Coturnix japonica: one gene and its partner. The protein of the gene in region 2 interacts with the protein of the main gene of each other region in a biochemical or structural test. Links are inferred from orthologs where the notes say so. Each region holds a gene or a part of one and is shown on either strand. Other genes may lie near its edges.

Region 1 (3,652 bases), on a different chromosome or scaffold from region 2:
CATCACACTGGGCTATTTGCAGTAACTAACTCATAAAAAAAAGGTGGTGCAGATCACAGGGCAGCGTGTTTTGTTCTTAGAGCTTAAGGACAAGGGCAAGAAAGGCTAATTGCCTGCTGCTTCTGACATGATGCCTTTTTGCTCAAGATGATTTTGAGTGAAGAAATAATAATAAAACAAGTCATGACTCACCTCTGTGTCTGGCCTCAATGATCTCAGATAACTTTTGAGGTCCCCACGTGTCATCAGCTCCATGATAACTAGGGTAGGCTGGCCCTGAGAAACAACACCTAGCAGGCGAACCTGGAAGAGGAAAAACAAACGCTCAGCTACAGATCCCACTAACTGAACTGCAGTAAGCATTTATTCATGTGATACATAGCCCCAGACACCCATGAAACAGTAGGAAATGTCTGGAAGCAGACTTGCTTTCTCTCTGACTCCTGCTGAACAGCAGTATTCTAATGCTTATGAGTTGAAGCTAAAACCCAAGCACCCCTTCAGCCAGTGAGGACATGCCCCGAACACCCTCCTGCTGTTAAAGCACCACGGCCTTATCAGTCCATCTCGTTACAGGTTCAAGACTTACCACATGGTGACAATTGAACTCCTTCATCACAGAGGCCTCGTTTAAGAACTCTATTCTCTCACGCATGCTTGCAGACTCATTGACCGTTTTGATGGCCACCCGGGTCTCCGGCTCATCCTTCACCACTCCCTTGGCTATTCCCTCATACACCATCCCAAAGGAGCCTTGCCCAAGCTCCCGGCACATCGTGATCTTCTCGCGGGGCACCTCCCATTCATCTGGAACGTACACTAAGCAGAGAGAGAACATGCCATCACATTCTGTTTTCCTAACTACTGGGATTGCTTTATGATATCAACTGTCTGAACAACTTTACTGTAAGCAAAGCTGGACATCATTTTACGACCCTGAATCATGCATGTAAAAATGATACTTAGCACACAAATACATCTTAAAAGGAACCTTAAAAGAATGCAAAGGGACTGGCAGAATGGGATAAAAAATAAGAAACCTACTGCTCACAACCAGGGTAATTCAGGAAACCCACCCAAGTTAATCTCAGCTGAATAAACTACAGGAAAAACTTCAGAAACTCCCCGCTTTCAATAGGCAGACAACATTCACATACAACTGCCTATTAATTAACTATGGGTGTGCAGATACAATGAAGAGAAAGAGGTTTTACCACATCCCTTTGTCAGTGTTTCATACCTTCCCAAACCAGACACAAACAGAGCACACAGAACTGAGAGCACAGAGGCTCAGCCCACACTTACCGTCCGAAGCACTGAAGTACTCAGGGTTCACAGACGCATACAGCACTCCGTTGCCCAGTCTGTCACTGTTCCTGTTGAAATACATTATTTTTTTTTCTTTTTTAATCTTTGAGCTCAAGTAATTGCAGACTGCCTATTCTACAGCTTTTCCACTGTTTGCTCAATCACGAAGTATTTACTGTAGGTGGAGAGCTTTTCAGAGAAAGAAGACAAATCACGTTCTTATTCTACTTCACATAATCAGTGGGAAAACAGCTCAGAACATTTTTCCCAAGAAACCTGCAGTCTTCTCTGCTGCTGATGTGGTACAGAGAAGTGTAAACACACGGTACTTTCAGCTGCTAGGCAAACTTCCTTTAAGAAAGGCAGCTGTGCACTGATACACCCAGGAGACGTATGGCTTTAACATCACCTGCTTTTTACTGTGAGGCAGAAGTGAGCTAGCAAAGAACAAGGTGTTTTTTTTCATTCGGGTTTCTGTTCCACTACTTTATAAATTGCTTCTATTATTTTACTTTCCTGGTGTGATTTTCAGAATAAGACGTTTATTGAGAGTTGTAGGAGTTCTTGCAGGGGGCAAAGCTGTACAAATAAAATTAATAATCAGACCTCAGAAAACCAAAGAAAACATTTTTGTGTGCTAGAACAACAGCTTAAAGAAGGATGGGGTATCAGTTGCTCCACTCTGAAAAGGACATGGGAAGGCCAGCAGGTACCTCACTTCACTAGAGGCAAAGCCGTTTCTGTAGTGCTTGGGAACTGGGATGACAGCGTGCACACAAAGGGATGAGAGCTGGGACACTCAATGGGCATAATTTAAAAGTATGTGTAACAAAAGCCTGCATGCTTAAAAAGTTGCAAGACTGAACATTTGCACTGACTTCTGCTAAGTTCTCATTATGTATTTCAATTACATTAAAAAAAAATCCCTAGTTATTAAAGTACAATACTAAGGAAATCAAATCAATTGAGTGTTCTGTCCAGCATATAAATATTTGTATGTGTATGGAAGGAACTGAAAAATAAAACAACTTCAGAATCTGCAAGAAACCAAATTAATCTCATGTGAGTGAAGTTTACAGAGCAACCTGCATTTCAAAGCACCTGATTATAAAGGTTCAGCATCTGCCATCACTGTCCCAGTTCCTGACAACCCTTCTTCTGCCCTTTCAAACACGATCCTGTAATAAAAAGCCCCTTTGAATCCCAAGCAGCAGGCAGATAATGGCTGGTAACTCTACACCACCTCCTTCTACACACCAACAAGGCAGAATCCACTTTAGCTTCTCAAGTACTCTGAAAGCTATTTCACTTCTTATTTTCTAACTTGCTCCACAGACACAGATTTGAAAATAAGCATTCCCTTCCTACAGTTTGGCTTTAACCACAAGTGTAACTCACCTCTTCTTGTTAAAGACATACAGCATTATCAGCAAACCCCCAATGATGAGCAGGAAAGCAATGGGGAGCACAATTATCAAATGGAGGAAGTTGTCATAGTTTGCTGCTGCAACCAACAAGAAAACAATTGTATTAAGGTTTCTATAAAATCTCCATTAACAAAGAAACATTCAAAACCCACTCAGTATATTTCCATACATGGGAGAAATCAAAGTACTCATTTTCTTGTCTGATGTGGAAAAATGTACTCAGAAACACGCCCTGACTGCAGATGAGTGGAATAAGAGAACAGAGAGTGAAAAGCCTCAGCTTTGTACAGAACAGCGTCTGTCAGGAGTTTGGTTTCACATGTTATGCTTGAAGACTTACATTCCTTAGTGAACAATACTGAGCTGTTCACTTGTATATCAACCTTTATTTTCCACCACCTTTTGTTCACCTTGCCATTGCTCGTACTTCAGAAGATATTCACGTTGGTTCATCAGATTCCGACAATTAGAAAAACAAGAATGAATAAAAGATGGAGGCTGACTTTCTGTGGACACAGCTGATTTTCAGCTAAACACAGATGTTCCCGAGATGGTCTCTGTGTACCCTGTACAGAGCTATTCCAAAACCTGAATCGCTGCCATTCTCAGGGGCAGTATCCCTCTTTCATCAGTCTTTATCACAACATTCCTAACATCAATTCTAAAGTACAAAAAATCATACTGAGTTAAATAAAATCTGCCAGGCCATATTCTTAGCAAATCACTGGTTCTTACATCACTTTGTAACTCAAAGTAGGTGATTATCACAGGTTCTGCACCATTCAGCTCCAGTATTTAACTCCTAACATTACACTGGGCTATAAGGTGGACATCAAAGGGAGTGGCAGCAGTGTGCATCAACAGGCAGGAGTATTCACAGTAATGTAAACCTTAGGACTATTCAAAAAGGCAAGTCC
Region 2 (3,695 bases):
GCCCCACAAGATGCTCTAAGAGCATCCATCCTTCAGAGAGCTCCAGCAGAGAGCAGGGGTGAGTCCTGCACCCAGCAATTGCTTCACTCTGCAGCACATTTAGAACTATTACAGGGAGAAAAAAACACTGTGAGACAAACATACATATATATTAATGGCACACTAATGTTTCTTCGGTGTCATAACAGGATATAGCAGCAGCGTGATCATCCTTCAGCAACCAACCAGAGCCTGCAAATGGCTGAGCTCCATCCCAGCCCAGCACGCCCTTGCAAAGAACACAGCCCTTATCTCACCCCTCCATGCATCACCAGCAATGCCCCAAGGCAGCACAGTGGGGCAGCCCCCTCCCCATGGCACACAGCCCCCCTCCAGCACTGGCAGCCCAATGCTGTACCCACTGTGGGGTCCTCAGAGCACAGACTGACCCCATCTCCAACCCCAGCACTAGAAATGCAGCCAAGTAATAAGACAGGAGCACAGCAAACCCCTCCTGTATCCAGAATGGAAGAGAAGGTGCTCTATCAACCCCTGACACCTCCTGTATGTCCCCTCAATGGCCCTGTTTTCCCTCATCAACTTTAAGAGCCCAAGTGCAGATGCCCACCCCAAGACTTACTGGCTTAAGAGAAATGCCACCCTCTGAACAAACACAAGCTCAGCAAGGAGAGTATTACATTAAGAGGGTGTAAGTGTTTGCAAACACGAAGCGTCAGAGCAGTGAGGCTGCAGATGAACCGTGAGATCCGAGCTGCTGGGTTATGAAAAGCAGCAGCTGAGAAAGTCAAAGAACTTCCTGAGAGAAGGAGGAAGTGAATGTGAGGGCTGGGAACCCTGCACTGCTCACACCACTGCCATCATGGGCTGCTTTCTGCTCGTGTGTTCATTTCTAACCTCTAGAATTACTTTATAAGATCACCTTCTATCTCCAGCAGCAGAGGAGCTGGTCAGGAATGGCCCCTATCAGACAATTTCAGTCTCAGATACTGAGATCCACTGGGAAAAAGAAGCAAACACCACGAGACCAAATAGAAATCCCATTAATGAGAATGCCATTTATCACACCACCAGCAATGGCCATTTTTACTTCCCTTCTGATTCACGTGTGCTTTACTGCCATACATCACACCACCTCCAAGAAGACACAGGACACACTGAGGATGGGACAAGTGCAACCTGCTGCCTTATAGGTTTGTGTAGACTCTTAAGACAAGTATTCAAAGCTCACGTGGAGAAAAGAGCAGGCCCTGTGTTATGCTCCAAACACCTTTGGCACAGATGCAAGCTGAGTTTTGTTGTTATGTTCTTAAGGCAGCTCCCAACCTGAGGAAGGTCACTGATAAATAAAGGGAGAATTAACCCCATCACATGACATGTGCGGCTCTAACGACACCCAAAGCGTCAGGTTTATTTCTATTGCACCTGCTTTCTATTCCACCCTCGAGAGCCAGACGTAAAGAGGCAATACAGATATTGGGCACCTTACCTGGCATTAAAGGTCCTCTGAGCACAGCACTGAACACAAACATCCCCTCCACGTGACCGAACGCAAAAGGAAATGGAGACTTCTTCCCCCCCCCCCCCTTTTGGGCTGTGCTCCGTTTTCAATTTGCCCATTCCAATTCAATAATGGAAAGTATTTTGTTGTTCCCAAGCAGCGAGTTCAGCTCTCCATCCTCACGCAGCGCTCAGCCGCCCTGCTTATAAGAATCCCAATGCTGCTCTAACCTGTCTCACACATGTGATAGCAGCCTGCAACTCAGGAACACATACCTGCCTATATTAATACATATACACTGTGACAGAGGGGAAAAAAGGCTCGGTGTCTTTATCCAGCTCATCTCCCAGCACAAAACCCATCAGAAGGGACACATGTGAAGCATGGATGTGGCCCCCAGCTCACCACAAGCTCCCTATGGCACCTATAGCCCCATCCCCACGCCACTGATGTGTCTTTGAGATAGAAAACCCATTCTTCCACCCTCCCAATGATAAGCTATGGAAGGCAGGAGGGGCACAGTGCAGCCTCACCTGGGCTGACCCCAGCTGCAGCAGGGATGGATGGCTGCACATCTATGGGCAGCACTCAGTGCTAGTTGCTCTACCGACTCTATAAGACACCAAGAAACAGCAGGACAGAAGCCCTACACATCCCAAAGCAACCCCTATAAACCCCCCATCCCATCTCGCTTTCAGAGCCCATCTTTAAGCGCTGTCACCCGAATCAAAGCCCGGAATAAGAGCGATTCCCAACTACTGACCTGTCCGTGGTTGCGGGCTGTGTGCCACTCATTGGAGCCTCTGCCCAGAGCTCGTGTTATCCAATTTACATGGTACGATCACTGCGGGGCTGTCAGTGCGGCCCCCGCACTGAGAAAAACACCTCAGAAAAGGGCAAAAAAAAAAAAACAGAAAAAAAGGGGAAAAAAAATAAAAAATCCCCAACTTTTGGCGTACTAAATATCCAAAGGGAAAAAAAAACAACGCCAAACTTCATCAAAAAGCCCACAAACAAGGGAAGCTCCGCTCGCTGTGCGGTGCTCCCTGCAGGCCGCCCATACCCGCAACCGCCCGCCCCGACCCACCGCCCGCCGGTCGGCCCGAGCGGGGCGGGCAGGGCGGGGGGGGTTAGGCCGCTGCCTGCCGCCTCCTTTAGGCCCTGGGGGCCATGGCCGGCTCGTAGCGCAGAGAAGCCCGATGTCCCCGTTCTCTTTTCGGCCTGTGTTTCTACGGGCAAAGTCCTGCTGGGCTGAGGGACACACAGCGAGCCGCGCCCCTCCTGTTCCGGCGGCTGGGAGAGACGGAGCCTGCGCTGAGAGAGGTAAAATAACTCCTCCTCCGCTGTATCCCTCCGCCTGCTTAAAGAAATCCGACTTGTCATATTATCTGGGTAATTATCTCCAAAGCAACCTTCAAAGTAAAGCATAAGAGGCACGAAAGAGTCATTTTGAAGATGGAGTTGAAATAAAACTTTCTGGAGAAGGAGATGATGGAGATTTCTTTCGGTCCTTGTGAAGTATGGCTTCCTAAATATAGGTAATTCTGCAGCTTTCTGGTTGGAAATGGAATGGTTTTGCCCCAATTCGGGGTGTTGAGGATGTAGGGAGAGAAGTGAGAGGTGCCGGAGGATGGGAGAGCTTTGTTGTTTTGGAGAAGTTTGGTGTAAAGAGGGGAAGTGGGATGAAATCATGGTGTAAATGGTACTGAGCAATCTGTGCTTCCTTCCCCGGCTTCCTTTTGGGGGGAGAAAGAGGAAAAATAGGAGAGTGCTGACGTGAATCCATCAGAACCTCCAACACTGAGAGCCCGTACCCATTACAGCTCATTTCTGCACCTTCAATGCAATAAACCCCTCTGTGCACCCAAAGAGGGTTGGGAGATCCATCTCACTGGTTGGCATTGACATATTAGGCCTCAGCACTTCTTTATTGCTTTAATTCTTTGGGGGGAATCAATAAGCAATTATGCTGGGCGGTAGCAATTCGAATGGATTTTGGTTTGTGGCTGCAGTGCCCCACAATTAGGGTTAGTGCTGCCATCTGAACCTGGACCCCCATTAAAGCTATGGGGCTGAATCCCAGCACTCTATCCCAGCTATTAGAGCCTGGAACATCTCAGCTCAGGAGGAATGCTGAGTCCTATCAACTGCCTTAAAAGGTGGGAAGATAAGGACAGATCCATGGGGGTCCCTCATA

Evidence for each region.
Region 1: the proteins of ARHGEF12 (region 2) and IGF1R form a complex in vitro, tested with the Homo sapiens proteins (2 studies listed by BioGRID and IntAct, with this or other methods). The link is inferred for Coturnix japonica from reciprocal best matches to the Homo sapiens genes ARHGEF12 and IGF1R.

What each region holds. Positions count from the first base shown.
Region 1 is NC_029525.1:15,115,447-15,119,098, forward strand, and holds part of IGF1R (insulin-like growth factor 1 receptor), read right to left. Parts: intron 2,813-3,652; coding exon of another isoform or gene 2,810-2,812; coding exon 2,707-2,809; intron 1,377-2,706; coding exon 1,306-1,376; intron 820-1,305; coding exon 590-819; intron 304-589; coding exon 193-303; intron 1-192. UniProt on the Homo sapiens protein: Receptor tyrosine kinase which mediates actions of insulin-like growth factor 1 (IGF1). Binds IGF1 with high affinity and IGF2 and insulin (INS) with a lower affinity. The activated IGF1R is involved in cell growth and survival control.
Region 2 is NC_029539.1:3,194,410-3,198,104, forward strand, and holds the start of ARHGEF12 (rho guanine nucleotide exchange factor 12), read right to left. Parts: upstream 2,810-3,695; 5' UTR 2,294-2,809; coding exon 2,262-2,293; intron 1-2,261. UniProt on the Homo sapiens protein: May play a role in the regulation of RhoA GTPase by guanine nucleotide-binding alpha-12 (GNA12) and alpha-13 (GNA13). Acts as guanine nucleotide exchange factor (GEF) for RhoA GTPase and may act as GTPase-activating protein (GAP) for GNA12 and GNA13.